4 linked regions of the Oryzias latipes genome follow. The protein of the gene in region 1 interacts with the protein of each later gene in a pairwise test. Links are inferred from orthologs where the notes say so. Each region holds a gene or a part of one and is shown on either strand. Other genes may lie near its edges.

Region 1 (8,077 bases):
TTTTAAAAGTTACATGCAGACAGAAAGCAGCCGAACCACCACCGATAAAAGCCTGATGATGGGGGAACTTTAAATAAAGATCTATTTCAGGCATAACATACCTGTACATTCGTTTGCTTAGTCTTGTTGTAAGCCTTTAATTAGCTTTGTTTAAAGGCTAAGTGAATAAGACGTCTGGGAATAGTGTTGCCATTTACCACCAGGAGAACCAAGCAAGCCTAACTAACTAACTAAACAGACCACAAATAATCCAAGTTGATATCAAAGTAAATCCAGACAAGAAAAACAAGGGAAACCAGATACACATGTTCACCCAAAACACTTGCAAAAAGTTTGTGTTTTTTCTAAACTACAGAGAGTTTACTGTGGTGCATTAATCCACATGACACAAGTTAAGAGAACAGAGGGAAGCTGAAAGCATCAAGGGGCACACACTGCCCTAAAAGGGAATAGGCCTCCCATTACACATATAATTGGAGCATTAATGCCACACTATACAGACCCCCCCCTCTGTACATCCCCAGCAGGAGGTGGGTTGTTAGTCTGTACCCCCCTTACCCCCCGCCAAAGAAGCTTGTTGCTCTGACAACTGCAGCCTCAAGCTAATGACCTCCCTTGGAGCTTTAGTGCATGTGTTTATGTCCGTGTGGACAATAGAAAGAGATGCATCTCCCTCGCAATGAAAGAACAGCAGCTTCACATGGACGTAAAATGAAAAGAGAGAACCAAGTAAAAAAAAAAAAAAGGACAAGAGGAGGGGTGGGGTCTGGGTCAAACCACAAGAATGATCCTGCAACCGTTATCAGAGTGGGCAAGCCAGACAGAAAAGGACAGAGGTGGGAGGAATAAAAGGAAGAAAACAACAGAAGAAAAGAACATGAGGGGAAATGCAATGAGAAGGGGGGAAAAAAAGTGTAAAAGAGACGGGGAACCATCTCGATTTCTCTGTGAAGTAGCCAAGCCAATTCACCCCTAATTTCCTCTGGTCTGACTGGTCGATAGCAGTGGTAATTACTGATGAATGCTCTGAGCTCTGCACCACTCCTGTGGGGAAATGTGTGTTTGTGTGCATCAGGAAAAAAAACAAAAGTTTCCACAGCTCTGAGTTCACACTTTTTAGACAAAAATGTGTATATTTCACCATTAATCTGCATTTTTATGTAGACTTATTACCCAGTGTATTCTAGTGTGCATGCAGTGACCTTGCTATACCATAGAGCACCTTTCCATCTACTTTAACCACCAGTTTAAAAAAAAAGGGGGAGGGCACTAACACTGTATATCCTCCATCGGCTTCAGGTTGATCGATCCCTTTGCCTCCCCGGCCCTGCCCCTCTAATGTAATAAACCATGCCGCTCCTCTAGACAGCACCAATCAATCTACAGAGCCATTCATTGTGCCTCTGGGCTCAGCCGGCCAGCCCTAACTGGGGAAATGGAGACAGAGCCCCATCAATCACAAATAAACACACAAACACACACACACAAGCATTCAATATATACAAAAAAAAGAATACACAAACGAATAAACACAAATATACAGCATCTGTGTGCCCACACAAACACAGGACATGTCAACACGTACACAACAAATACCACAAAACCCCTTTCGATAAGGAAGTGGAACACAAAAGAAGGAAGAGGCTCAAACATGAAGATGTAGACGACACAGATAAGCAGGCGTACCTGTTTGTGCATTTCAATGTTGAGGCCGTACGACATCTCATAGTACTAGAGAGAGAAGAGGCACATGTCAGTGAGATAAACCCCGAAAACTTTGAAAAGTATCAAACTAAAAAGCACATCTTTAAACAACACGGGCAAATTTGTCAAATGCTTCAACTAATAAAATAAATAATTTTTCAAATGAATACTTCAGCTTCCCCTGTAGCCATTTCTAACTGAAACTTACAGGGCTACAATTAAAAGGTAAGACTTTGATAAAAAATCATGCAGTTTTTGCTGTTGTGCATGTTTTACTAAAAAAAATGTCCCTTGATCATTGCCAGAGGCAGTTGTAGTCCAAGAAAGTAGATTCGTCAAATGCTGTACTTCAGATTCCAATGTATTTTTAAACAACTAAATTAAACTCCACTGTCTTGTGGGGTCTTCATCAATGTCTGAGTAAGACTACACATAAAAGACGCGTCTGAGGCGTTTTCCTTTGAGTGTCAATGTGGCTTCAAAGCACTTACAGGCTGTTAAGACTTAAAACACACCTTTCTGTAAAGGTAAGGAGTGTTTTAGGTATTTCAGTTTAACAATACAGTCAACACAACAGCTTCACCTGAACCAAACTGATATTTTTTACGACATTTTGTTGGCTGTAGTTTTTTTTTTTTTTTGAAGTTGCACATATTCTTGGAATGTTGTTTTAGTTGTGCGAAAAGCCTTCTTGTTGTTGTTGTGATTGTTGGGTTTTATTACACCTTTAGGTAAAAAGCACAGTTAAAAAGACAAAGACACCATAGGAGCCTCAAAAACCCAAAAAACACCAAACGCTATATGGATCTCTGTTAGGTTCAGGAGCAGAGAAAGAAGCTTACCATCACGTAGTGTCTCTGCATCTCAGTTTTTTCACTGGCCAGCTTCTCACACTCCAGTTTGAGACTGAACAAGAAAAAAAGGAACACAATCAACTCTGTGACAAAAATTCAATCATCTCTCTTTTCTACCATCAAAGTTTAGATTCTTGTCAACAAAAGAAATGAAAAAAAAATGTCTGTTTTATTTAAATGTTTGACGAGGATCGGCAGTTTCCACCTGCTGTGCCCAACATTCCATAAAAACACAAATTACAGATCAACTACTGAAAAAGTACACCAAATAATACTTGGAGCACTATCTACACATGCAGGGACAGAAAGGAAGATTTATGAAGCCTCCCTGTAACTCTCACCCATCACTGGACCTACCACAGTGAAAGTACTAACTGCTTATGTTTTTGCTTTTCACTATGTGAACCCAGTCAGGGTTGGTGGTTTTGTCTGTAGCTAGAGTTGTGTGTTTTTGTGTAATGTGGCAAAGGAGGGCAGCTGTGGTTAGATGTTGAAAGTTTGTATTAGCGGGTGGATGACAATGTGAAGAAAAAAAAGAAATTCCTCTCAGAAACAACAGGCCATTCAGAGTGAATCCCGTCTCTGTTGTCCACCTGTGGTACTGTGCCTGAAGAAACTGGAACTCCTCCTTGATGCGGTCAAGTGACTCAGGGATGGTGAACTTGAAGGGCTGGCCCGGGGCCTGATGGGGTGTCTGAAACACACCAACACACAGGATTAAGCCGTCTGCTGCATATGATCTCCTCCTGCAGCTAAGATGTTAGATCAACAACTTCTCAATTTTTGATCAGACAATATTATCAGTTCTTCTTTGATGCCCCCAGGGCAGATGTAGAGCAGAATTATCAAGGGAAAAGGAGATAAGCAGGCATGGAGCCTGAGAGAGCTTGTGGTGGTGGGGGTGTGTGAGACGTGCAAATCAAACAAAGAGGCAATACTTCCTGTAAACAGTTTCAACCTGCTGAAGTATGGAGCAAAAAGAGGAAGTAGCTTACCGGGTGTCTTCCCTGGGGAAACATTGTTATCTCCGGGGAGACTGCAAACGCGTCTTGTCCTGAAACCCCGCTAACGAGGGATCAAATGAAGCACAACAAGGATGTATGAAGCTCCTGATTAAGGAAACTAATCCATCCGCCTTTCAGTTGTCCTTAAATATTCGAACAGAAAACCAAATCTATCCACTGCTCGGTCTACGTTCATGGGCCGTTAGCGTGAATCCCCGCTCCTGGCTGGCTGTGGTCCCGGGTCGTTGTCCCTCGTCCGCTTCAGCGGCAGCGTCCGTATATAATCAACCGGAAAAAACACAGCTCATTTAGCCGGAGCCAGCTTGAAGTTGAAGGAGGACGGCGAGAACCAGGTGAGAAGGCGAGGCAGAAACCTCAGTCACTCCTGTATTTGTTTGGCAATTCTCCGGGAAGGAACCGTCAACCGAACGGGCAAAAATAACAAAAGAAAAAAATAATGGAACCGTAAAACACCGAGCTTTAGGTTAGCATCATCACACATAAATACAAGTTAGTTTCACTGAAGAGTTTCCACTTGGCTAGGTCGGTAGTCGGCGGTGAATAAATCAGGGAAAGATGTATCCAAGTCAAATTTGTACGTAAGCCTGTGTCCAAACTAGATTTTACAAAAATTAGGAAATATGTCGTTAGTTTTGATAACAAAAAACTCCCACAGCGGCACGTACACTCCTCCGTCTCGCTCTGCCTTCCATCAATGGCAACTTTCTCACGCGGTGTCACGCTTTCCGTCTAACCGAAACTCTGAACCAGCCCTCTAAATGGTCTCTAGCCAATCAGAGCCGCCGATCCACGTGGGGCCAACGACGTAGCGTCGGCAGTCGACCAATAGGAGTTCGGCAAACTTCCTCTGGTCCGTTGACCTCGATCAGCTAGAAGGATTCTAGCCAATGAGCATTCGATAAGGATGTGGAACTTTTGAGGCTTACGGGGGCGGGAATTGTGGTGTGTAAAGCAAGTTTTACCTGTCAATCAAAGTAACGTGGGCCAAAAGGAGCCGCAGATGCGTGCGCATGAAACACATCCATAAAGATGCTAACGAGCATGGGCATGTATTTAAACAAACAAGAATAAACTCTATCACATATGCGCAAAAAATAAAAAACAACAGAAATCCATGTTTCTACCCACAGAATTTCATTCTGCTACTCTCTTCCTCTCCAATTGGAGCCAATATTTGCACTCATCTTATACTAGCACTTACTCCATGTCCCACCTCCTAAAGGAGAAATCTAATGAGCTAACTCATATGTTGCATTCATAATAAGTTCTAAATTGGTGAGACAGCACAGTTATTTCATCAATGACTTTTAAAGTTTTTGAGATATTTTAGGGTTTTGGTAGCAGATTTCTTTATTTCACGACAAGATTTTGGTCAAATATTTATACACTCTGTCATTAAATAAACAAACTAAGAGCTATATTTTTGTTCGTTTTTTTCTGACCAGATGTGACAAACACATTTTTATTCATTTTCTTTTTTAGGGGGACTTGAACTATACGAAAATATACATTAAAAATGCAAAAAAAATATGATTATTAATATTGTTATTATTTGTTTATTTGTTTATTTATTTATTTATTTTTATTATTTGTAGTTTTCCCAATGGTTAAAAAAATTGTTTTTTTTCCCAAATTTCAACAAAAAACATTAATAGAATTATCAATAATGGCAGTATAAATAATAAAAATTAGGTTTTGACAAAAAAATGAATAAATAAAAAACGACAGCGTCTGATTTACTACTTGTTAGACTCCAACAGATAAAGTATATTATCCAGCAAATGTTTATTGGCTAAATAACACATAATGTTGTTTATTTGGCTAAAAAACACATAATTTTGTTTTCTTCTGCATATTTACTCTGTAAATTTATGAAGAACTTGATGTGAAAACATGAGTTGACCGTCTTATGTTCTGAAGTTTTGTCAACAAGCACCCCCTAAGTGGCAGTTGGCTCTCAAGTAACAGTAAATAAGTAAAGCGCACTTATTGCTTTCTCTACCTAATTAATTTATTTGTATCTGCTTAGTTCTAGTAAACCTGAGCGGTTTCTTATGTTGTTGGATAACAGCTAGCGGGTTATAGTGACCACATGACGATTGAGGAGGTGACTGAAACTGGGGTTTAAAAGCAGGCTTAGTGTTTTCTCTGCTCCACTTATCCCATCTAAGTACCCCTCACTTCACATAGAAAGCCCCTGAGCCCCATGCTGACCTGTGATTGGCTTATCCAGCTCAACCCCTGACCCTGCGGCCTCTGACATCTGCAGCGGCTGATTCCTGACTGTGACTAACCATCTCCCTCTCGCATTTGCAAACATACACTCCCCCTCGCATAAATACATGCAGGTGCAAGATAGTAGTTGGCACTAACTCTGTGTAACTCACAGTTGTGCATGTTTCGTTTTTATGACCTTCTCTTTGCTTTAATGTCTAAATTAACGGTGCTGTAATAAAGCCAAACCAAAAAAAATATATATATTTTTTAACCAGACTGATCAGATTGGTTTGTCTCTTCTTGGCCCAATTACACTATCATTTTTATCTTCTTCCTGACGACAGCAACGACCGGATGTGACAGAAATAATTCTTGTAAGAGTTAACGTATCTGCAGCTCATTTTACTTATTTCGCTTCCGAGAAAAAAAGAAAATCAAACGTTATCTCTAGGTGGCTACAGAACACACAAAGATGTGATGATATTGTCTCAGTTTTGAGACTTTTGGTAAACTTGCCATCTGAGAAACATGTCTGAGCATTTCCTGTTACTCATTTGTTCTGTACCATTTCTCAAAATCATGCTTTTCCCTTGTGTTGGTGACATACCGGTACACATAATATGTCCTAAACTTTGTACCACTTGCTTCTCTGGTCTTTTTTTTCCTTCTATCTCAACACAGCTGTAAATTGTGTAATTTTCTACTCATTTTGTTGACGTGAAGCATTTGAACATACCAGACACATTAACCTGAAGCAAAGTCAAATAACATCTCCCTGGAGTGTGCTGATGGGTTTAAAGCCAAACCCAAACCAATGGTTACACAGTACATTACATCTCAAGAGGTTTCTAAACAAAAAGTAATGATTAACATTTTTCTACCAGTGCCTTTTCCGCTTTCAAAGTCTGGAAAAATAAGAGAGAGTATAAAAAAATGTTTTTTTTCATCCAAGTCTATGAGTTTATCACTTGGTGACTATCATATCATAAAACAAAAAATCTAATTTATCTTGTTAAATGTGTTTACAGAAAACAAATCTTTTAAAACTACCATGAGGAACGTATGTTTTCCACACCAGTAGACTATGGACTCTGCAGGTTTTTAGTCCAGATTAGAGTTTGTTTTCCCATTTAGCCTGCTAATGTGAGCTGGTGTCAAAGGTCATCTGAACCAAGCAAATGGACTCCGGTGTGTCTGACAGTTCAGTCTTTGCACGCAACCCAAGACCTTGTCTTCACAGACGGATCAGAGTTCACTTGTTTAGTCCACACCTGACATTCCAAGAAAACAAACTCTGGTCTTTATCAGACACCTTTGGTGCAAATCTGTTCTAAACTGCTATACCATGATAGTGTGATTCACTGACTGTCACAGATATGAATCTTGTGACTTGTTCCGTAGAGCCAATTTGAAACGGCTGGATGACTCCGTTGGCTACGTGTGGGACTGGGACCTGGTTGGATGCCCAGGGGGCGCGGTGAGCTTCATTCAGTGTTAGTCCTTGGGTAAGACCTTTTGCGCTACTGCCTGTAGCCACAAGGGGGTCAGAGTCTGGGTCCCACAGCCCAGATAAAACACAATGTTATGTCAGGAAGGTCATCAACCGTGAAACACTGCCAAACCACCTGTGCGAACCAGTGAAAGCTGATTCGCTGTGGCAACCCCTAAAAGGATAGGCTGAAAGGTAAATAACATTTGAGCCCATTTGAAGCCTTTTTTTTTTAGGTTTCGAGTAGTCGCCATTTTGGTCAAATTGTTAAATGCAGCATTTCCAAAGAAATAAACAGAAATGTGACACAAACAAGCCAGTCTGTTGTCAAGACACACAAAGACCTGGGTACCTGTCAATCAAAAGGCCACATCTCATACTCTTTCCAGGAGGGTTGACCTGAATTTTGAATCTATATCCACGAAAATGAAAAAAAAAAGTGTTTGGAATCTATGCATGTAAAAAAGAAAATTGGAGCAAATCTTGCTGAGTTTCTTTGAGTGGTTACTTGTTGAATTGATTTGTCTCCAATAGGTTCTTTTTTGCAAATGTGTTTCAATTCAGAAGCTAAAGTCCAAACTTGATCTGGCTTAAGATGCCTTTCATGACTGAGAAAATGAAAGTGTAAGTCCTCGTGCATAAATACAATCAAACTGCATGTAATAAAATGCAAAAAGATCAGGGTGTCATGAAACTGTGGCTGCCTCAACTCCTGTTTTTCAGACTCTTGTTGGGTTCTGCAGTTCTGCTTGGGGTCAGCACTGTTTCTCTAATCTTTATACATATGA
Region 2 (8,344 bases), on another chromosome or scaffold:
GATGATCCCAGGCAAACAAACAAGCAAAAACAAAACAAAAAGAGTCAAGCAAAGCAACTTTTGAGTCAATGACTGTAGAAGAGAATTGGAGCAAAGGAACCTACGTACAAACTATACGGCCATTAAAGCCGCGTTGAACGTTAAGCCATTTGAACTTTGACCAATCAGGGACTCGGATTTGGTAGTGGTGTATGGGTAGGATCCTTTATAATTCATGGCTGTGCCAAATATTTGAAAAGCAATCATGCCGTAGAAATGAACAATTGTGGTTTGTGCACGGACACCAAGTCTTTTATATGTCGAAATAAAGCTGTGAAAAAGAAAAGACTGCAGGAAGATTTGCACCGCTTCAACATTCCGCACTAAGCCTCTGTCAACTGTAGATACACATGCTAGTGTTTGGTAGCGACGGTCCGGTGTGAACACCGGATGCTAAAGGCATCACATTTTAACATTTGGAACGTGGGGGGGGGGGGAGTCCCTCAGTCCAGTTCTCATATACAGTCAATGGTTCAAGCTTATTTCAGCAAAACAGTATTGTGTTGATTTGAAGACAAAAATGTACGTAGAGAGGAGGAATGGGGGAAAAGACTATTAAAAACAACAGTTTAAAGACTGATAACGTGGCACCAAGCTGTGGGTAATAAAACATAGAAAGCTGACGGGTGGCAGTTAATCGTCCCATTATCATGTGGTGAGATGGGACATGAGGGGAAAACAGCAACAGGCCGTCGGCCTAGATGGATGGACGGATGGATGAGTCCTTCTGTACTGTGACAGACAGGTGGAAGTTACCTGCTCATTGACAGTCAGAGGGGCATCTTTGGAAGGAGGATTATTGGAGCTCATGGCGAGATGAACCGCTGCAGTTCTCCTGGGCGTCCTGCATAAACAAATCATGCAAAACCCTCTCATTCGTCATGCAGACTTTGTAAATGTAAAAACATACAACTCCCAAGTCCCTTAAACCCCCACTGCGATCCAAACATCAAAAAAACCTGTGTCATTTTCTAGTACATAGTTTCTGCAGAGCTTAGAATTTCATTAGGTTGTGAGCGGGACTGTTGGCACAAAGTAAGCCTACACTTATTTCCCCATCATGCCTTTGTTTACGTGCTCTCCCGCTAGCTTCCAGGCCCTCGCAGCCCCAACATGACATAACCGGCATAAAAAAACTGGCGAGTAACATTGGAGCCATCCAGCTGTACAGCTCTGAGCCAGATTCCAGCTGAGATGTGGAAAACGAAGACGTTCATAGATCCAGTCCTCTATAAGTGGATGCATCGGAATGGAGCAGGGAGCTTTTGGCCAGCTGATTGTAGTTCGTCTACAAGCTTTTTCAAAAGCATTTTTTTCATCTGCTCCTGATTTACAGCGATTTGAATCAAGAAATACTCAGAGACACAATTTTAATCTTAGTTTTCGTCATATGACGAATCGTGAGAAAAATGCAACAAGATTTTGTCAAAAAACATAATTTTGATTGGAGTGTGTCTTTAGAGCTGACTTTATTGTATGTTTATGGGGAAAATGCTTAGTGGTTGTTGGACCAGAAGGTCCTGAAAATAGACCCAAAAAATGTTTCAAATGCACAAAAAATGTAGACAACTGCCTCCAAAGAGGCACGAAGTGACCCAAATTTATCCCAGCTTCCGTAGAGGACTATTTCCTGCAGCAGAGCTCGGTCAGGAGCGGAGGGGATCTGTCAAAACTTCAGCGGGGGTTGACGGGCACCCCACCCCCATCCCGGCCAATAAAAGTCCCTCTGCGTCGGCCACTTCAGAGGCAAAGCACCGAGCACGGACAGCAGGAAGCCCTCTGAACCCGTGCCGAGACTGAAAATTAGATATTTCCCTCTCTTTATCATAAATATATAAATTATGCTAATTACGAGCATTGCATATTAACCCAAACTCATTTCCTCTCGCCATTTCGCTGCGACGCGGAGGACCGAGCCTGAACACAGCCCCGCTCTATTTTCTCCAACTTACCGCAAAAGCCGCCTGTTCTTCCGCACTCCGCCGCGTTCAAAGGGGCTCCTTGTCGCCGCTTGTTTCAGTCACGCATCATTATAAATTCACCTCAGCTCCCAGACAGGCGCTGTAACTGCACACAAAAGAGAGGCATTTGCATTGATAAGCAGGGCTGCAACGACGGGCTTCTCCCCACTAAATGCAAAGACGACGCCCTCCCCGCGACACTCAAAATGACCGAAAATCCCCCTAGGTGGCTCACTGAGTCCCTTTTTGAGCTGTAAAATTGGACAATTTTGCCCTAAAAGTGCCCTTTTGCACTACGTCATGAACATAATTTATGCAAGGAAAATTCTTGCATTGAAAGATGTCTGCCTCGACTCGAGCGGTGCCATGGTTCCCTTAAAGGGGCCGCGCCTCCTCCCGAAGGCCGCGCGCGGAGTGTGTCACCAACCAAATATTCCCAAAGATGCTTCCCAGAACTCTTCATTCGAGGATTATGTGCAATTTTCCACCGCAAAGAGCCTCCTGAAGTTATGCTTATATATTAATAGTTTGAAACAGGATTAATAATCAGTAGCTGTCATGTGTTTGTCAAAACTCTATTTAGTTTTTTTTTGTGTGCTTTTTGTTGTCTATGTGAATGACAAAAATGATCATTAGTGTTTTAGGGACAATTGGAATTTTAAAAATATATACATTTTATAACTCCTACAAAATAAAAAATACTCATTTGGAATATAGTATAGTGTAGTATAGTATTGTGTTAAATTGCAAGTAAATATTTGAGAGTGTAAAAACAACGTAAACCTAATTAAAGGTCCACTGGGAATGCTTTTACAATATATCAAAAGATTATCGGAGAAGGACTTTAAAGTGGTATTAGGGCTTATTTGGATTTTTAAAAATTAGAATAAAATAGTGTAGGAAGAGGACTGTATGTGTTTTTTCTTCTTTTGTCTTTTTAATGTGTTCATTAGTAGGCCTGCCAAATAAATTTCATATTTATCATTATCGCAATAGCCTGTGCAATATGCGTATTGCTACAGACAGCGTAAATTGCAATAAATAGTTACCTTTAATGTTTACACACATGTGAAAGCAATATTATGGCAGCTTGAAGTGTTTGACAAATGAAATAAAGTCCTTTAACCAATCAGATGGACCTCTTTTATGTTTGATCCCTGCCTCCTGTGTAGACGAGGGTCATTTGGAATATCGTTTAGGTTGCATTGACTTTTATTCAAGTAAAACTTTTGCAGTGAATTGGAAATGATGTATTAGTTATTTTTTTTTATGTAGCGTAAGTCATTTCGTAATTGCAATATTGATCACTTATATTGCACATTGCAAGTTTACTCGTTTCCTCATGCAGCCTTCTTGGTTAGTGTGTTTTTTAAATTATTTAAAGTTTTGGTTAAAGTTTTTGGTTAATTTAAAAACATGTTTTCTTATGAAAAAACAGTTAACTATACACTAAAATGAAAAATTAAAATTCTTAATGTCTACATTTTGATAGCTGTGCTGTCTTTTAATATTTCAAGAATCTAAATGATCAATATCCATTACAATTGTATGAATTAGTTTACTGTTGGCGCCAGTTGACAAAAAAAGTTTTACATCAACTGTAAATTTTACAGTCATCAAACACCAAGTATTTCTTTTATATTTAACCTACAAATAGAAGATGGAGTGATTCATTTTGTTTTTTTAAAACAGTTCCATAGTTCACCAGGTGGCGGCGCGCGAGTGCAGATCAAACTGTGAGCAGTTCGAGCGCAGATAAAGAAAGAATGACGTAACCACTTCCACAACAACAAGAAGCAGAGAAACAAGGAAGTGGATGATTGTGTAAAGCCGTAACCTATAAGAAGGCCGTGACAAGATTCGTTGAGTTCAGTGAAACCAGATATTTTTCAACCTCCGGATCAATCCACAACTATGAATAACAAAGGTATGCCTTCAGACCGCCACCAAATAATTAGCCAGTTGTTCGTTTTAACGACGCTGGCGTTTATATTCAGAGACGGGGAGCTAATCGTTATGGCATCTGATGCGAACTTCACGTTAGCTACGTAGATAACAATACGCTGGCGTCTTCTGGGAAACACCTTCGCCGAACCTAGACTTTTTCCCAAACCGTCAGAAACTGTTAGCAATGTAAATTTAGTGTCACATTGTATTCTTCTGCCGTTTACTAAGCAGGTCACATACTGTCCAGCCAGCTAACATGATTTTAAAGGGGAAGCTCACATGATTTCACTGTTAAGGATCACTGTTTGTTTCCTGCTTTTGTCCATGTAAACATCAGCGCATGATAATTTACGGTAACGTTAGTTAGTTTGGTGGCTATTCCTGTTGGTCGTGAATAAACGCTTATTGTTTTAATATTTAAAAAAATTACATTATTCGACCAATCACCTATGTTTGAGTCCACCTTACTGGAAATGGTGCTAGTTGCTAATTTGGCTATAGTGCTTGTCTTAATGCTAGCTTACTGGAAAAACATCTACGGTTCAAATTCTCAAGTTTAATATAACCTTAAATTATAATTTATGTGGTGAAAAGAGCCAGTTAATGTTTTCAGTTAAAAATACACAACCTTTGCCAATTTTAATTCGAAGATGAAATATTATTTTAAATGGGTTTTGTTTTCTATCAATTAACCATTTTATCAATTTTATAACTCAACTTTTTCTCTTTATTTCTTTTGATTTGGGCAGATTTTTGGATACGTAATTTCTGTAAAAATTGTATTATTAATTACGGCTTGCGTTAAATCCATTTATAAAAATAACATAAGAAATACAGAACAATTAAAATAGAAGTTAAACAAATGGTATAAAATGGTATGAAAACTAATCTACTATACAATGTGAACCTTTAATTTCCCTGGAGCTTTCTGAAACTATCAAGATTTCTTTTTTCTGGCTAATAGACCTGTCATAATTATCACATAATGGCTTAAAGCCCTTTTGTATTAGCTGACCATTTTTCAATATTGTCTCAATAGAATTTCTATTTAGACAAAAATTTGTTTTTTATCTAACAATTTAGATTTTTTTATCCTAAAGAGAATCAATTGGCTATGCAAATGAATCATTTTTTGTATTTTAAGCTCTGTATTTCTGACTTGAATGGGAAATCTTTGCACCAGTTTTTATTAGTGATTTGTATTTTTTATATCGACAAACTAAAATTGTTTCTATTTGTCGCATCTGGAGGTCAGTTATTCCAGGCATTTACCCAAACGAGTAAATCAGCATTTCAGTGACCTTTGGCATCCCAGGTTAATGCATTAGCATGACGAGTGTCTAAGGGGAATTTTTCAAATGCAAGAGTCTTGTCATTTATAGAATGGACTTGCTTGTATAGATCGTTCAGTATTTTTTTTAGGTCCAAATGGTTTGACGGGTAGATTTGAGTCCCACCAGACAGAGTTGAGTCAACTATCAAAACTCTGTTTGCCCATTGATCTCTGTTCCAACTCCCATCTATGGTCTTGAGCTCTGGATATTGACCTGAAGACTGAGACCATGAAAGCAAGCAGCCAGATTTAGCTTCTGCTGAAGGGTGGCTGAGCTTGTTCCTGAGCAGAGGAGGAGGAGGAGTTCTGTCATCCAGGAGATGAGGAAAATAAAGCAAATGGCCTCGCTCTTCTTAGTAGCCAGTTAAAGTGGTCTAGTAATAGTTTGTCTCCCCCCCCCCCCCCCCCTGTAAAAAAAAAAAAAAAGTAGATGGGTGGAGCCTCTGGATTTCATCATAAAACTCCAAGTTTCATGGAGGTAGTGATCCCAAAGATCATTCTTTGCCTGTTAACACCTGCTAACGAACTCAGACTGTCCTGGGTTCCTTCTAAAAGAAAATAACGTTTTGAGGGAATATGTGTTTAAGTAAGCAAATCTACAAACAAAAATTTGTCTTTTCAAGACGTTATCGAGTCGCCAGCATTTTCCCAATCTTTCCTTCTGTTCGCACCCATGTCAACTGGTCTCTTCCTGCAACAGTTCACAGCTCATGTTGGTGCAAGACTTTCCTCCGGCTTGACTTCTAGTCCTCCTCTGAATATCATGTGTTTTGAGTTTTTGACAAGTTTGTGGCAGTTTTCTTATGAAGGAGAACTAATGTAATAAAAAAATCATTTCACTTTTGTATTTGTCCTTTTAAATCGCTGTCAATCAAACTGCTGCAAAGACTCTCTGTTAGAATAAATTAGCTTTTGTGATGTCACAACGGCCCAGGAGCACATTGTTGTGCATATAAAAGGAAAAGCCTTTAGCCAATTACAACTAGCTTGGCGGAGAAAGTGAGGCTGCGTGTGTGTGTTTGCCTGGGGGCGGAGCTGGCAGTGCAGACTGTTCCTAGAAGGGGCTGTTCCTCACTTTGTGACATCACAATGTGAGAACCCAATCGTTTTTGTGGACTGGGAGGGGCTGGTGCTCAGAGAGCAGGTTTTTACAGGAATGCTCAGAAATTCATAAATGGGTCAAATTACCACTTTGGGGGTTCTTTTTTGCAAGGAATGAACATTATAATACACTTTGAAGCTCAAAATTTTGATTTTTGCCTGGTATAGGCCCTTTAGATTCAGGGCTCAGTGTTGTCTGGCATCTTAGAAAAACAAAATAGTTGCTTTGTCTCATTTTTGTAGGTATTTGTTATATTGTAGTTTGTCTTCTATACAGATGTCTCTCTGAAATTTCCCTTTTTTCTTGCTTTGCTCGAAGATTTAAAGTTTTAAAATAATTTAAACAATACACATTGACAAGGAACGAGAGATTCAGATAAAAAATATTTATAAAAATAATGATTTCTACATTAAAAAAAAGATAATTTATGAGGATTTTCTGTTAAAATCATATTAACAATCAAGGATGCAGAGATATACATTACGATTCGATCCAAACCTTTATTTTTGAGCCATGGTTTTGATTTGGTTTGATATTTAGATTTTGTATTACAAAGCAAGCAAAAACTACAAATGAAAAAAAAAAAAGATTTTTAATTTGCTAATAAGCCAGTAACAATGAAAGAAAACCCCTTTAGTTGGCTCATACTAAGACTGGTGCAATGTAATAAAACAAGAAATTATAGATCCTTCTTAAATTTAGCACAACACGTGTCTGACACACTGGTATGCAGGTGGGACGCACCGGTTTGATTCCCCACTACTCTGGCCAGGGGTCTATCATAAGGTTTGGTTTCAGTTCAAAACTGTGACATCTCTATCAAATATGCATTTTGATATTAAATAGTAGTATATAGTGATCAAAGGGGTACAAATAAATAGTAAACATATTCTTTAAGATCATTAAACTTTTATAACAAGGAAAAATGTTTATTTTTAATATCTTAATATCTTAATGCACCAGATAGAGGTTTTTATAATATAAAGTAAAATGTTTGGGGTTTGTAGGTTTTCTTTAGGTGAATCCACTGATTGTATGTGAGTATAGGACTGACTCCTCTCCTTGCGTTCCAAACAGGAACTACCCGCTGGCTTCAATAACCCCCCCCCCCAAAAAAAGAAATAATAATAATAATATTACGCCCACATCCCATAGACTTCTAGTGACAAATAAACAGCTCAGTCATTCTTTTTGCCAGAATAATCACTCTTGCTCTGATACTTTGTTTTGGACATGTTTTTGTTGGTAAAAATACATCTTTTGGTACTGTAATTTGTTGAAATGCTGTTTTGCAGGTTCATATCCACAGCAGGCTGTGTATCCTCAGCAGAGCACTGCACCTGTGTACCCTCCTGCTATGCAAATGTCTCCTCAGGCACCCCCCTACACGGATACACCACCTGCGTATTCTGAGGTAGCCCTCCTCTTGATAACCTAAACTATTAACAGACGAAAACCTGTTGTTGCTTTTTTTTTAAAACACCTGTTTTCCTTCTTTGCAGATATACCAGCCCAGGTATGTGCTTCCACCTCAGATGACTGGCCAGGTGCCGCAGATGTCTTCTCCTTATCCTGGCGCCCAGGTGTACATGCCCATGCAGCCACACATGCAGGTTGGACCGGTGGGCCAGAATGTCCCCATGGCTTACTATCCCATGGGAACAATGTACTCCCCTGGATCAACAGTAATGGTTGAAGGTGGCTTTGATGCTGGTGCTCGCTTCTCAGCTGGCAGTAGCGTTTCCATCCCAGTGAGTACCCAGCATTGCAGAAAAAGCCACATCCACTGCAAAAGTTTTTAAGCTGTCCCTAACAACTCTTCTTTTTTGTTTTTCAACCCTCATCAGCCACCACCTCCAGGACACCCCCCCAACGCAGCTCAGCTGGCCGCCATGCAAGGCGCCAACGTTGTCATGACGCAGCGTAAGAACAACTTCTTCATGGGCGGATCCAATGGAGGGT
Region 3 (8,061 bases), on another chromosome or scaffold:
TCAGGGAAAAGCCTCCACGCTTCTGTCAACATAAAATCCTTTAAAAAGAAAAAATAAATAATTTACCATGATATTGATAGTTTTTGTCTTTTCTGCGATTTTTAAGTGAAAACTATTGAATACTGAAATATATTAGGACACTTAAGGTACATGTCAAACTCCTTTTGAAGGAATGAGATTGTGTCAAGCTTTTACTTTGAAGTAGAGCTCCCAAATATGGCAGTGCTTTCCGTATTTTATTTAAAGCTGAATATCCTCCTCGGAAACATGTTCCCAACACTATCATCCGGAAATGTTGTGATATTTCAAATTGGCTCAAGTGACAAATTACACGGGTATAAAGTTATCTATCAATACGCCACTGCTACTGAACTGTAAAAAAGAAGATTAATTTTACATTTTGTTTTTTACATATTCACCAGACATCCTTTAATTTTAGTTGTAAGTAGGTCTAATATGCCAGATGTTGCAATGTTTTACATTAAAGTAAGAGCTGTTCTAGTGCTTATATTTTCTAAATTGATCCTTTATTTTGAGCTAACATTCATGCCAAATATCCATGCAAAACAATATTCATGTGTCAACTGACAACATAAGCAAATGATCATAGTCCTATTTGAACAGCTTTGGCCAGCATATGTAGGGAGTCATGACCAAGTCCACATGATTTATGAGGGTGATTCAAATGTAAATACAATGATAAAGTGTGCAGCTTTGTTTTAAATGACTATTCTTCTGAATGAATTGCAGTCCAAATCAGATCTTTGGTGTAGTTTTTTAAGGCTGATGGCTCATAATACACTTAATTTGGTCACAATAATGACCTGGTGTAAGAACTGACTTTTAAAAAGCAGTGCTTGGGTATGTAATATCCAAGAAGAATTACCGAAACCATGATTGGGAAATTAGAATGTAAAGATTTAGCATGAGGAAAATAACAGAAACGTTTAATTTTTTTTTTGTTTTTCTTCTTAAATCAATTTCCTGAGATTAAGCTGCAAACATGCAGAGATCAGATCTGATGCATCTATGCATTTAATCTGTCCACTTTTGGATTTGCTTCAAAATTGTATGACTTCCACAAATGTAACACTCAAACTTTCTTCGGTTTTTATTTAACATTTGGTTTCTCTGGTTACAATTAGCATCCCCCACTGTCAAACAATTGTCCTAAAAAGCAAGAAAATACGCCGCATGCTTCTGGAATGTATTTTATATATTCCATTGTGGGAAAAAAAGACAATTGGCTTTAATGCTGCAAGTATTTACTCCACGTCTTACCCCCCCCCCCCCCCCCCACTCTATTCTATGACAACAATTTACAGGAAAATTTATTTTTTTTCCTCCCCATTCTTTAAGGGAGACTTAATGGTAAAAGATTTAGAAATGAGATGTTATTAAAATCAGTTGCTTTTAATTTAATAACTGGAAGTAATCAGATGATTGTAAAAATCACATCTGACTTGTCTGCGTACACTTTTGAAATCTAATGATCGAGAGACCATGACTGACATGTTTCAGTGCGTTGTCAACTTTCGTTTAAACTTCCCGCAGACTTTTGGTCATATTTTATAAAGATTTGTTGTATCTTTCAGAATTACTTGTACCTTTAGTCACATATTTGTATAATGAAACCTATGTAGAAAAAAGGTCAGATAAGCATACTTTTGATGAACTTCCGTGTAAAACAGAAAATATGGATGGATTTCAGCCATTGCTATTGTCTTTTACCCTTTTTCTTCTCTACCCGTTTTAACTAATCTAAACGAAACTGTACTCGCCATTGTTTCTCATTTAAATTCTGTGTAAAATGTATACATGTAGTTTTCTCTTTTGAAAATGTGTGGACTGTGGACTGTCATTTTAGGGAGGGGTGAACTTTGTGTGTCAGGGTAAATATAATTGTTGTTTGTGGATATTTGTCTGTTAAGTGGTCCTGTAGATTAAAACTCTATGGTATTTTTTTCACCTTTCGTTTTATCATCTGTGCTTGAATGTACATAGAATAAGACCCCCTTGAAAACACAATGTTTCAACTTAATCGTCTTTTAAATCTAGCGGTTTAAATCAGCTAGGTCGATACTTTTTGCAAAGAGGGACAGATTTGGTGAAAAGGTGTGATGGCCAACCTTTCAGCCTGCATTTTTGAACCCTTACAATAACTTTACATTCAAATGAACAATTTATTTATATATATATTTTTACAATGGGATACTTTTCATTTCCTTGGAAGGTAAATATATCTAGATATTAAAATAACATAAATTTCTGATTTGATGACTAGAATTTTCTTTTCTTTTTAATAGATATTAAACCTGCATTTATGTGAAATTTTTCATATTATCCACTATTAGATGGTCATTGTAAACTTCTGAATTTAAATTACGCTAACAGCAAAACAAGAAATTGTTATCTTATAAACAAATAAATCTATTCTTCTCATTTGGCCCTTGAGGCTCTAAAGGGTTAAGTTGTTGCCACAATTTTACCACATGAATTAGCCAAATATAATTAAGTAATGTAGATTTTTTGTTTGATTTTGTTTTTGCTAACTTTCTTTCTTTCTTCCTTTTTTAATGGACAGGCTTTAATAAGCTAAGCTTCTACCTGCTCATTTTCCAACATGTGTCTATACTATTATGGTCAAGGACTGCCAAGACCGTATTGTTTTCGCAACGATGGACAAAAACTCAAAAAGGTTTAAAAAGCCCTCAGAGGAAAGGAATAAGCCCAAGAAGACACGACCAATGTGTAGTAAAACACAACAAACAAAGAAAGACATTGGTCCTAACCTCAGACACTTCTATATTGTATCTGCTTTGTTTCATCATTATCATGGCCTGCAGTGGTCCCTGACTGCAAGGACCATATTGTTTTCACAGTCGGAAAGGTTTCTGCGCCTTTGAGCGAGAATGTGACCACTGCCGCTTACTCAAAAAGTCACCAATATTTGGTGGCACACACCTGGCAAAAATGAATTTTTAGCAAAGTGAACGACCCCCCCTGTGAGAACTATGGGGATAAAAATCGTTGTGTGTGCAAAGGCAGTTTTCACAAAGTCAGATTACTGGGATTACCAGAAAAAAAATGACACATTATATCATAACTTAAAAAATAATTGATCACATTTGTGGTGAACATGAAAACAGACTCTTTACCCACAGATGCTAAAGAAACTTCTGACATTTCCTGGAAATGGCTCTAAAGTTCAAACACACTTTGATTCTTTCAGAGGGAGGAGAATCCAATGACCCCCCCTCCCTCCTATCTTAAACCCCTGATTCACATGCAAATGACCCTCAGTGGTGTGGACGCCCCCCCCCCCCCCCCGACCCCCTCAGACAGCAGCAGCATCAACGGCTCTTCCTCTCCCTGCGTCCCATCTGCGCCTCTGACAGCCTCCAACGGCTCTCCGGATTACCCCGCATCCTCCTGACACGAGGCGAGCAGCATGAGCAGAAGGCCCGGAGCAGACGGAGGTCCGGCCGACAGGAAGGTAAGAGCGGGAGCGGACACGTCTGCAGGCCCGAGCGCGGTGGGGCTGACCCGGTGACCTCGCTCTGCTCCTGTTCCTCTCTGGCAGATCATGATGATGAGGAAACCTCTGGTGGAAAAGAGGCGGCGGGCCCGCATCAACGACAGTTTACACGAACTCAGGCTTCTCGTCGCGGATGCTGACGTAAGATTTCGTCTCCAAACACTTTAGTTATTCAATACGTTTTGTGCCATAAATGTGTTTTTAAATCTAGCTACATGCGAAGATGGAGAACGCGGAGGTGCTGGAGGTGACCGTTAACCGGGTGGAGAGCGTCATGCAGAACCGTGATCAAGGTAAGAGTGACGCGCGTGGGACGTTTTCCAATCATAAAACTAACATTAATCGACTAAAACGTTACCTACCGCAGTATTTTTTAAGAAATATAGTTCGTACTTAAAGTTGGTGGCGTAATAATATTATAATTAAAGCTGTGCTAAGGCCACAGCTCAGCCAATTGGAGTAGAGTTTTAATTAACCTTTAATGAACCCCTTAGAAACACACTCCAATGAAAATGGTGTTTTTAAAATGTTCTTGGAACATTTTTCTCTTGATGGAGGACATACATAGAGAAAATGAAGAATAAAATGGCCTCTTGAATATTTCAGTAGAATGTAAACAAAGGTATGATGGGAAACTGATCAATTTTCTGAAGTTCTGTTGCTTTGCAGAAACGATGTCTTAGAAAACGACACAGGTTTTTTGATTTTGGCTAATAATGGGATAAAAATAATTAAAAGACCACTGGAAACGCTTTGAAATTAGATCAGAAGATGACTGGAATGGGACAAAATCCTAAAAATCTTATATCTGCAATATTGACATTGGATCTGTTTGATTTGATACATTCAGGAAGAAATAAAAATATTGTGAAGACATCTAGATGTGTTAGTCAGATTTTTCAAAGTCACAAAAAGATGCTGAACCCCACTTTGCTCCTGGTTGTAGGTTTTCATGGCCAGCTTATCCTCCATTGCAATTTGTAATCACTCAGGTTGCAAGGTTATCCAAAGGGAACCACTCCAATTGCTGCAAAATGTGGCACAAGATGATGACATGATCTAAGACAGGAATTTTACCCCCGTAGTACAATAGCATGCATATCACGCCATTTATCCTATAATTATTATGAACGACTAGAGCCTGTTTATACTTCATAGTGATTTGTAATCTCTTGGGTCACACTGGTTGCAAGGTCATCGGAAGGGAATTGCCCCAATTTCTATGAAATATGACACAAGATGATGACATCATCTAAGACTGGAATTTTACCCCTATAGTGCAATCACGTGCAAATCGTTCCATTCAATTTTTGCTTATCTCAAGTGATAAGGCTTAAAATAATTACACTGCGGTGGAGCAAACTCAATCCAGAAAATTGTGGTTTCCACGTCCCAGGATTTCAAAAACAAAGCTGCTTTTACTGCACTCAAAATACTAGAGGGGTTAGACATTATTTCATTCTTACGCAGTTCCAAAAAAAACAAAAAACACAACATTTTCACTGCACATGTGGCCTGGGCTTGAACCTCGTCTCTGCTCCTGCTCCTACACCTGGCTGTGGATCCTCTCTCCGGCGCGACTCACGCCGCCGGCCGTCCCCCCAAACTCCGTCTGGATGAAGTTCGTCTGCTGGACTTTAACCCTTGTGCTATCTTGGATGACCCCACCCTTACATTAACGTGTTCTCCCTACCATGACAAAGGTGGATAAAGGTGGAAAGATTTCTTGTAATTCATGGACACCAGTGAAGATCGCAAATCATTGAAGAAAAAAGGTTTAGCGCACTGTCTAGTGGGTCTAGATGACCCAACTCCCAATGTTAAAATGCCTAGGATAGCACAAGGGTTAAATATGTAGTTATAGAGTTTGATAAGTTAATTCTTCTCTATGAGTTCTGGTAAATCTCCTGCCCGTCCTGGGGGAGGATCCCTCCTTCATGTGGGCACCCCTGAGGTTTCTTCGTTTTTTCCAGAATCCGTTTTTTTTAGGAGTTTTTCCTTACTGCGAAGGAGGGTCTAAGGGCATGGATGTCCAGTTTAGTTTAGTCAGTTTGTTAGTTCAATTTAGTGTTTTCCAATTGAATTCTATGTATTCATGATCCTTTTGATTTTATGTTTTACTGTTGTTGTGAATTTGGGCTACCGGTATATAAATTGAATTGAATTAAATATTTACTTTCTAATGCAATAATAACTTCAGCTGTTTTCCATTAAGATATGGAGCAGGTGACAATTCATTTCAAATGGGCCTGTTTAAAAAAAAGCTATAAACTATAGTTATTTGGTATGTTCAAGCTGAGCCACCTTTATTGTGTGAACGAGAGTGCATGGGTAAATGGGACTGTGTGACTGTGAAGTGGTCCTTCAAGGAAGCTAGAAAAGCATGAAATAAGGATACATCATTTACCATTTTACATTAATGCCAGCTATAGGACAATGAATGGCAGTTTTATCTGTTTACATGATCAATTCAATAATCAGATTAATTGAGAAATCAGATGATTTGTGTTTTGGCACACAGTCTCAATGTTGGTGGTCTTGTATGTTTTCCTCAGATGTGGACGCAGTAAACCGAGAGGCATGTGAGCGTTTTGCTGCTGGCTACATCCAGTGCATGCACGACGTGCACACGTTCATGTCCAGTTGTCCGGGGATAGACCAAGAACTGTCTGCGGAGTTGTTGAACCACCTTCTGGAGAGCTTGCCCCTGAATGAGCAGAACTTGGTACCGGACGCTGCATCACACCACCCTGGCCGTAACAGCACTTATGCGCCGCATGACAGGCTGCAGATGGCCGGGGTGTCCCCTTCACCTTTTGCCTCCTCCACTGATGACCTCAGCTCTGATCTGGATGAAACGGACTCGGAGCACAGTCAGCGTTCAAACTCAGAAGAGGGAAGAGAGAGCCACGGAACGCCGCATGGCGTACATTTTTCAAAAGTTCTGTGGAGACCATGGTAGAACAAGTCAAATGATCAGTTTTTGGGAAAGACCTTAGCATGTGACAAAACACATTTTGTCAAGCATTTAGCTAGAAATAAACTATCTAATAAATACATTCACGTAGGGCTTAATGAAAATATGTGGCCCTCCTATAGGGTATAAATGCATTTGTAAATATGTACTTGTGTCAAAGACAATAGCTGTCCCACTAACCTAAGTTATTTTCTTCCTGCAACTTTTATTTATAGATGACTTAGTGAGCCACCTTTCTCCCCTTCAATAAATAACTTTCTAACAAATGGGTTTATTTTAAATTTCATTTGCAGAAAAAAGCAGGCACATTTCACACTCAAGGATCCCACAAACCACCCACCCTCATCTGCTACAATATTAGCTATTACTCTGCAACTGTGGGCCCATTTGTGCACTCTCTCTCGCTCAGCACATCCTAGGCATTTGTGAGGTGTGAAGTGAGTAATCTGCTCACTCCATATATGGCTCTTCTTGAGCTCATAGATGCTTGTTTTTCAAAGATAACTTGGTACCTAAGTTGCCCTGTCATGTTTCGCTTAAGATTTTGCTTTTGAAGAGTGTGCCATGCTCTTGTGCTTTAGTGTATTTGCTGTGATTTTCAAAGACAAGCTGAATTTATAAGCAAAAAGTACTTGATCTAATTTTATGACAATCCAAATGCATGTGAATTGTGTGCATCTCAGGAAGAAGAAGCACAGCATCTTAAGAATAAAAGTCTCTTTTCTGCTTTGGCGCCATCAGCTCCTGCGGCTTTGCTTTACGAATAACAAAAGGCAAAAGTTTGGAAGCCTCTGTGATCTGTTTTGTTCTTGTGATTCATTTCAAAGTGTCAGTTTTAACACAGATCACAGAACAACACTAAGAGTGACAACAAGTGAAAAAGCAAGAGAAAGAGAAAATCAGTGAGGGGGTTTACAGCAGAGCTCTCCGTCATCGGGGAGACTTCCTGTTTGGAAGGCCTGGATAATGTGGGATAGACGTCTCAACATCTAATAGCTGACTCAAGCCAAATTGCCTTGAAACTTTAAGGTCTTATTTACATTTCTTTTTTCCAGGTAATTTGTTCAGATTAAATGAGACTCATAAAAGTGACTTTAAAACTTTGCAAAATACAACAGAATGATCCAAATGCATCCGTTTAGCCCAAAAAGGTTATAATGGCAATAGCACCTGCCATGACAAGTTTTATACTACTGATAAAATAAATATTTTTCAACTAATCTGTGCTATAAATGCAATTTCTGTATGATTTCAATCATTCAATCATTTTTATAATCAAAATGACTGTATTTTTGGTATATTTTTGTTCAGTTGCAGAGTTGGCAGCACAGAGCAAACTGGGTTGAGCAGGTGCCTTTTGCTAACTCTGTGTGCTGCTAGTTTAAGGCTTTATTACAAGGTTATCCATAGATAATATTGTTATATGTCTTCACTTTTTATACAACAGTTAATGTAGTTCACAGATCACTTATTTACAGTATTATTCAGATTTGACAAGACACAAGCTCAGGCAGGCAGTAGCTCTGTCACGACTGAAGAGGGCGCA
Region 4 (7,959 bases), on another chromosome or scaffold:
TTTCGCCCCGCGTTGTTTGGTGTGGTTTGGTTACTCCGGACGACACAAAAAGCAACATTCTGAGTGAATCTTTCATTTTTAGCAGGAGAAGAAAAGCTTACTTTGAAAGGTGAAACGGAAAGTTAACACATCCCTGCCAACAACTCCTGAGTGTTTGAAGGAATGTTCCTCCCACAGAGCAGAAAGCAGCATATGCCCATTCTAGCCCTGCACCCAAGATAACCTCCCTGTGCCACATTAGGCTCTGGATGACTGCTATGCTTTTACATCTATAGTTGATAGTTCATAATGTCACCAGCTTTTTTATGAACAGTCAGGTGCTGACAGCCGAATGTGTAAAATGCAACACAACTAATTCATTATGTTAATTTTATCTCCATTGCATTGGTGCATGAGAAACTAAAGGTCACAAAAATTTTGAGTTTACTCCAAAAAGTGACCAAAAATAGTTACAAAAATACTACAACAAAGCAAATACATTTACTAAGTGAGCAAAAAATTTAAAAGAATTACTGAAATAAATCATTTTTACACTTCAGAGATTAAAATCTATAGTTTGTTAACAGAATTAGCTCATAGGTTGGACGTATTGTTGTGCACAGTTTCTAATCTGACTATCAGACAAATGTAGTAATTCAATAAAAAAACTCTTTTAGTATGTTTCTTCTTAGATTTCCCATAAATCCCTGAGGTTTCTTTGTTTTTTCCAGATTCTGTTTTTTTAGGAGTTTTTCCTTTCCGCGAAGGAGGGACTAAGGGCAGGGATGCCCAGTTAAGTTTAGTCTGTGTAGTCAAAGTTTAGTATTATCCTATTGAATTCTATGCATTTATGATCCTTTTTGATTGTATGTTTACCTTACAATTACCGGTGCGAAGCCCATTGAGATGACTGTTGTTGTGAATTTGGCCTATATAAAGTAAATTAAATTGAAAAACAAAAATTGAAAAACAAAAAATTAATAACTTATATTTCATTATGTCACGTTGTTTTAGATGTTTGTACCTTGACTTGTTTGACTTTGGAAGTTAAATCTTTGTGAATAAATAAACAAAGTATTTTGAAAATGTTTTTTTTTTGGCTAAACACCATCACTACAACTTTAACCCCACTGGCAGCATAATTTCCATCTCCATAACATAATCAATGTTCTGTAAGAATAAAAAACAGTTTAATTTCATTTGAAGAGGGACAATTTCTACAACAAATTCAAATCAAGTTCATGCACCTTTGGGTTTATTCACTGTTTTAACCAAAGATAAACAAATTGGAGCTATAGGTGGAGGAGCCTGAGGCAAAGCAATATGGTTTGGTCAAAGAAACCCCTGATGTTACTCCAGGAAAATATATTCCTCCTTTAGTCAGAATTCCTTCACTTAAGCTATTAAACAATGTTAGTTAAAAAATAAATAAATAAAAACTCAAAACCGGCTGACATTAGAACTGCAAGAGGCCCCGGATAAGGTTTTTTGACCAAATCCAAAATGTGACCTTCACCCCAATGAGAGAACCAAGGCGGGTTGATGATTAACTCTGGAATCGGAGACAAGTCTCATTTGGGAACATAATGTCACTCAGGTCATGGAAAAAATTTTAGGACTCAAGTGATGCATCTGGAATTTCCAATTCAGTCTGTTTTTATAATCAGGTCATTTAGACAGAAATCATACATCCATCTCACAGGAACTTCTGGTTCTAACATTTCACTTAAAAAAGCTGCAGGTGCGTTTGAACAAATTCCAGAAAAATGCATGTGAGGTGACCTATTTTTGCATATTTATGCCAAAAATTACAAAGTGTGAACAAGTGACACTAAAATCTGTTTTTCTGAAGTTTATAATATCAAATTTTAAAACTCAAATCTATCCTTGTTTTAATCAAGCTGTACTTTGTAAACGGGCTTTGCTCCTCAGTGGTCAGGTCACAAAACGATCGATGGAGCTTAAACCTTTATATGCGGAATGGCCTCGGAGAGAATTCAACATTTATATTAATTCATTATTTAAATAAAAAATGAGACCATATTAGACAATAAAATTTGGTAAACATTTTTATACAAACAAATGTTCAAGTTGAGAAAAAAGCGCATCCCAGCCCGACTTCAGCCGTGCGCCGGTGCAATCCCAAATCCTCAAACACACAGCCTTTTTCTCATGATCTAATTTCCAAGTTAAGCAGACTGTGTTAGTCCCTCGTCAACACCACAGGTTTACTCGCCTTTACTAATGGGGCTCTATCCTGATAGTTTTGCTCTTGCGTAAATATGCAGTCAAATAGATGTACAACCACCGACACGTGGCTGACGGCGCTCGGCAGCCTCACCTTGATGTTTGTTTCATACAAATACAGTAAGGGCTCCGGGAATCAGGTTAACACTGCAGCCCCTGGACTCCCTTTTAGAAGAAAAGCTGACACATATATTTACCTCCACTACTTAAAAAGCTCCTCACAGAAACAGTTGCTACTATTTTAGGAAGGATGGAGTGAACTGCAAAAATTCTGTAAATTTAACGAATAATGAATTACATGTTACATCACAATGGATATCGACTTTATTATTTTTACTGAATTGGAGTAAAAATAAAAATGTGCTAAGTGCACATAATTTAAACAAATCTGATTTTTTCAGTTTACAGAATTTGAAGATTTAACATTTGAAGAAATAACCGAGAGAGGGCGCTCTGGCGCTGCGTCTGGTTTATTTACCATCAATGAAAACATTTGGAAATATTTTAATTCACTCATGCAGGTCGAGAAACGCACCAAACACTAAAAAAACGAGCGTTCTCTGTAAAAAAAATCACCTTCATTTTTATTGTTTTATGATTTTTTCTGAGAAATAAAAAGGCATTGTTGTGTTTCAAATTCGAATGTGACTATAAGTAAAGAGCTGCTGCAAAATAAACGAGCTTTACCTGTTTTTTTTTAGCTTAATGATTAAAGGCCGTTTTAAATCACAGCTGTGTTGTGCGCACGTGCACATATGTGAACTCGTTGCAGCTTTTAGTTCTTTAACATCCTTGAAAAAAAATTGTCAAAAAATTGACATATTCCGTAAAAGGTACTGTTTTTTTAGTATAACCTGATACACAACAAGGACCTATTCTTGTGTTTTGCGCAAAAGAATCATGTAAAAACAGTCTCATAAATGAATTGATTTTCGTATTTTGTGGTTCTACTTTAAAATATTTAACAGTTAAGACCAAAATTCCTTGAAGGTATCAAAAGGTTATGATTTTAGCATTGCTGAATGAGAAAAACTCCGTGCGTAAAAGGAACTCTGAAAGCGCACGACATTCCTTTCCCTTTTATTTCCCCCTTACAATAAGATTAGTTTTAAATGAAGCTTTTCATATGAAACTGTTCTTTTCACTCAGCGCAGGTGTACAATTGGGGTTGGGGGGGATGAGAGGGGGAGCCTGAGGAGTCTCACGCCTAGGTGCGAGGAGATTATTCAAATAGGGCCCAAGGCGTAGAAGTAGGGATTGGAGGCTTGCCTGGCGCACAGAGCTATATCACAGCGTTAACGAGCAGCACGGAGCGTCATTTGAACTCCGCTCACTGACAGACGCGTCGCGGCTGTCTGTGCGCGACACACATGCGCCAGCCCTCGACAAACGGACACGCCGACCACCCAAAAACCCTCAGTGGTCCCCAGTCACTTGCTGTTAGAAAGACTTTTTGGCTTTTCCTCTGCTGGGAGACGCTTCGTTCAAGTCCTCCATGATGCTTGGAGCAGTTAAAATGGAAGGACACGAACACACCGACTGGAGCACATACTATGGAGAGCCCGAGGTGGGTACCTTAAATATAAATATATATATTTTTTTCGGTCTAAAGCCGATCCCATTTAATACAACTCAATATTAGCCCTGAGATAATATTAACTTTGTGATCAAATATTGACTTGAGGCGCCTCCAAATCCTCCCCCATCTCCTCGCAGCGCGCTAACCTAACAAAGTTGACGGATATGCGACGTAGAAACTTTCCCCTCAGATTTATTATTAAAAAACAAATTTAAATCATTTTTTAATTCATTTAGAAAATGTGGGGGATTTGCCTTGTATTTTTTGATGGAAATTTTCAGCTTATGTGTTAGTTTCATTGATTTTTTTCCATATAAAAATGTTAGTAGTAATTGAGTTTTACGCAGTGAAATTAACATACCCGTAATTGTGTGTTATTGAATATTCATTTTTTTGTATGATGCCAAATTTCATGAACATTTCTTCCCCCCTTCACTGACAGTGTTACACCTCTGTTGGAAACATGAACACCGGCCTGGGAATGAACTCTATGAACACCTACATGAGCATGTCCGGCATGAGCACCACCGCAAACATGACGGCCAACTCCATGAACATGTCATACGTCAACACGGGCATGAGCCCCTCCATGACCGGCATGTCACCAGGCACCGGAGCCATGAACGGGATGGGAGCAGGCATGACGGCTATGAGCACAGCCCTGAGCCCCAGCATGAGTCCTATGACCGGACAGCCTGGGTCTATGAACGCCCTGACATCCTACACCAACATGAACGCCATGAGCCCCATTTACGGACAGTCGAACATCAACAGGTCCCGAGATCCAAAGACGTACCGGCGGAGCTACACGCACGCCAAACCTCCGTACTCCTACATTTCTCTCATCACCATGGCCATCCAGCAGTCACCCAGTAAGATGCTGACGCTGGCCGAGATCTACCAGTGGATAATGGACCTCTTCCCCTTTTACCGACAAAACCAGCAGCGCTGGCAGAACTCAATCCGCCACTCTTTGTCATTCAACGACTGTTTCCTCAAAGTCCCCAGGTCGCCGGATAAACCCGGAAAGGGCTCCTTTTGGACTCTTCACCCGGACTCCGGCAACATGTTTGAGAACGGCTGCTACTTGAGGAGGCAAAAGCGCTTCAAATGCGAGAAGAAGATGTCCATGAAGGAGCCCGGCCGCAAGGGTGGAGACGGCGGCTCTGCCAACAGCAGCTCGGACAGCTGCAACGGCAACGAGTCCCCGCACTCTAACTCCTCCTCCGGCGAGCACAAAAGGTCCCTGTCGGACATGAAGGGGAGCCAGGCCCTGAGCCCGGAGCACACCGCGCCCTCCCCGGTGTCGCAGGGGCAGCACCTCATGTCTCAGCATCACTCGGTCCTGGCGCACGAAGCCCACCTCAAGCCGGAGCACCACTACTCCTTCAACCACCCCTTCTCTATTAATAATCTCATGTCATCGGAGCAACAGCACCATAAAATGGACCTTAAGACTTACGAGCAGGTGATGCACTACTCTGGATATGGCTCCCCCATGACCGGAGCGCTTTCCATGGGCTCCATGGCGGGTAAAGCCGGCCTGGATTCTGCATCTATACCCGACACATCCTACTACCAAGGGGTCTATTCCAGGCCAATCATGAACTCCTCGTAGGCTCCCTGTATGCAGACTGCCCCCCACCCCCATTCCAGTTTGTACATTTGTAAAAAACAAAAACAAAAAAATATAGACTTTGTGTACTATATGTATTTGAGATATTTTTGACCTTTCTCACCGTTTTAGTTGTTGAGCTTGTTAGACTGTAAGGAGAATAAAGTGTTGCGCTTCAAAGATGGACCCCAAAGACACAAAAACTGCTGTAAGATATTCACGTTTGCATAAGTGGACACAGAAACCAGTTTGAATTCTTTGCCAGATCTGTTCAGTCATTTGTGTATTTCCTATTTATGGTCTGTATATGTGTATTCTTGTAGTGACAAGAATAGAATCTATATTAAAGTGTTATTGTTTTGCTTTCTGAACATGTCGGTGTTTAAATTATTATTTTTAACATTATCACAATTGTGCAAAAAGGAGTTGAAATCCCTGTTTTCCAAGCTATATAAGACGGAAACTGGAATTTAGGCGTTCAATTTGCATAAAGTACAAACAGTAACAACGTTTATTCAAACTGTATTCCTAATTTTTCTATTAAATAAACACACAAAATATAAATGTGACCAAGAATAAATTATTGGGCAATTAAATCGATCATGAAATATCACAAATAACCTGTCAAAAACACAAGGAGTTTAGCATGTTTGTGTCTTTTTTTATTCAATAAAAAAACAAACATATTCTCACCCACGTGATGCTCCAATAAAGGCGCATACTTTCCACAGCGGATTAATAGATTTGCTTCATAAAACCGGGTACAATGCTCTCAATTTGTCTCACAGGAAATGCAAACAAAACAAATATATGCTCATTAATCCCAAACGCAAATGGATATATTGATGGAGGGGTGTGGGAGTCAAAAATCAGCATTTGCTTACACACTGTTTTATAAAATTTTGAATATTTTTGGTAAAATCTCAACAAAAATTGTTATAAACAGGACAGGAATTTTTTTAAAGTCACACATTAGTCTATTAGACTGTTTGCGCGCGCACATGCAGGCAAATTTACCAATATAGAAATATTTATGAAAGTCCGATTATGAGATTTAACGCTCGTTTAATCTCTGATTTAAATTCCCCCACACAGAGTATACGTAGGTGTCAGTCAAGCAGCATCCATGTCACTCATTTCCCCCCGCATCTGTCTCTTCCCTTTTTTCTTTACACGAGTCCCAGGCGCGCGCACGTGAACGCGCATGCAAAGTTTAGATCACTGAATGAGATTAAGAGTCATTGTCCCATAAAAACAGCCTCCCGTGGCGCAGGAGAAAAAGGGGGCTGATTCTGGAAAAAAGGGCCGCCTGAATGTGATGCTCTAACTTCTCTCCCCACAATCTGGGCTTCCATTGTCTGCTCCCTATTTTCAAAGTAGTCGGGCCCTCCCCTCTAGTTAGATAAGATAGGCTTGTCCATGAATCCAGAGAGCCCTCCTGCTGCCTTCCCTTCCCTGCTGGAAGCTCAAATCCAAGGCCGGGGACGGTGCGTGGACGGGGGACATCTCCGCAGCCTATAACCACACAATGGCCCCGTCGACTTCTGAACGCACGGGGCCCTAGTGTGCGTTCATTCTCCAGACCCTCTTTTAGATCGTACTTTAAACAGCGTGATCTGCGAATAAACAAAGCCAGTAAACAATTGAGTGGAGGCTATGCCCACATATAGGAAGTGTACACACACAAACCAAATTGCACAAGTGTAAACTTTGAATAGGACGCAGCAGCTCTGTCAATTTACACAGACATTAAATTTCGTTCTATTCATTTTAGACATATAATGCTGAGCTGATTTTTTTTATAGTACACTGATCGATATCTCTGTAAAATAATCTTTTTTTTTAACTAGCAGGGCAGTGAAATCTTTGCTTTGTGCTAAAGTCAACAGTGACAGAGTTTGAGCTCAAATAAATGCCGTGATGTCTGAAGCTCTTTGCAGAAGGCAGAAGGCGAGCTTCTACAATGGGCTCCTCTGTGGCTTTGCCAACGACATGCAGCAGCTATTTTGCACAGGTATGACGCTTTTATTATATCCACCAAAATGCTATATTTCTTTTAAAAACTTTTTTTTATTCGTGAACTCTTGAGGGTCCGGGGTAATTTTCGGGCTCGACTAGAAGGAGGGGGAGCAGAGGATGGGATCCTAAAGTCATGGGAAACAAGGAGTGTTGGATTTGGAGACAGGGTGGTGCAAAGCTGAGGATCTGCAGGTTATAAGCTGGAGGAATAGTTGGAGCTCTTGCGAGGGGATGCGCTTCTGCACTGCAAAAAGTACAACAAGAAATAACTGATGAAGATGTAAAAAAAAAAGAAAGAAAGTTACAATAGGGTTACCACATGAATATTTTAACTTAAACGAAGACATAAAAGAATATATCATTTTACTTATAATAACAATAAAAACTAGAGATGGACTTGTTTTTGCAAAAAGAAAGAATAACCGCCTCTTGATCCGGGACTGATGATGCGCCTCTTGTTATTGGATATTTTTTGCAGTGTGCGGCTGATTGATATCATGTTGCAGCACAGATGTCATGG

What was found.
Region 2: the proteins of transducin-like enhancer protein 1 (region 1) and dazap2 interact in binary tests that used the Homo sapiens proteins (3 or more experiments, as listed by UniProt). The link is inferred for Oryzias latipes from reciprocal best matches to the Homo sapiens genes TLE1 and DAZAP2.
Region 3: the proteins of transducin-like enhancer protein 1 (region 1) and Her13.1 interact in binary tests that used the Homo sapiens proteins (3 or more experiments, as listed by UniProt). The link is inferred for Oryzias latipes from reciprocal best matches to the Homo sapiens genes TLE1 and HES6.
Region 4: the proteins of transducin-like enhancer protein 1 (region 1) and foxa2 interact in a two-hybrid assay, tested with the Homo sapiens proteins (2 studies listed by BioGRID and IntAct). The link is inferred for Oryzias latipes from reciprocal best matches to the Homo sapiens genes TLE1 and FOXA2.

What each region holds. Positions count from the first base shown.
Region 1 is NC_019867.2:10,614,212-10,622,288, reverse strand, and holds the start of transducin-like enhancer protein 1, read right to left. Parts: upstream 4,296-8,077; 5' UTR 3,578-4,295; coding exon 3,554-3,577; intron 3,253-3,553; coding exon 3,152-3,252; intron 2,611-3,151; coding exon 2,547-2,610; intron 1,732-2,546; coding exon 1,687-1,731; intron 1-1,686. UniProt on the Homo sapiens protein: Transcriptional corepressor that binds to a number of transcription factors. Inhibits NF-kappa-B-regulated gene expression. Inhibits the transcriptional activation mediated by FOXA2, and by CTNNB1 and TCF family members in Wnt signaling.
Region 2 is NC_019865.2:22,359,811-22,368,154, reverse strand, and holds the start of dazap2 (DAZ-associated protein 2), read left to right. Parts: upstream 1-3,753; 5' UTR 3,754-3,914; coding exon 3,915-3,927; intron 3,928-7,677; coding exon 7,678-7,796; intron 7,797-7,884; coding exon 7,885-8,133; intron 8,134-8,229; coding exon 8,230-8,344. Other genes in the region: pou6f1 (POU domain, class 6, transcription factor 1), read right to left, coding at 796-803. UniProt on the Homo sapiens protein: In unstressed cells, promotes SIAH1-mediated polyubiquitination and degradation of the serine/threonine-protein kinase HIPK2, probably by acting as a loading factor that potentiates complex formation between HIPK2 and ubiquitin ligase SIAH1.
Region 3 is NC_019875.2:24,986,155-24,994,215, reverse strand, and holds Her13.1, read left to right. Parts: upstream 1-3,451; coding exon 3,452-3,496; intron 3,497-3,583; coding exon 3,584-3,679; intron 3,680-3,749; coding exon 3,750-3,831; intron 3,832-6,093; coding exon 6,094-6,500; downstream 6,501-8,061. UniProt on the Homo sapiens protein: Does not bind DNA itself but suppresses both HES1-mediated N box-dependent transcriptional repression and binding of HES1 to E box sequences.
Region 4 is NC_019880.2:16,305,650-16,313,608, forward strand, and holds foxa2 (hepatocyte nuclear factor 3-beta), read left to right. Parts: upstream 1-3,553; 5' UTR 3,554-3,721; coding exon 3,722-3,793; intron 3,794-4,247; coding exon 4,248-5,423; 3' UTR 5,424-5,671; downstream 5,672-7,959. UniProt on the Homo sapiens protein: Transcription factor that is involved in embryonic development, establishment of tissue-specific gene expression and regulation of gene expression in differentiated tissues.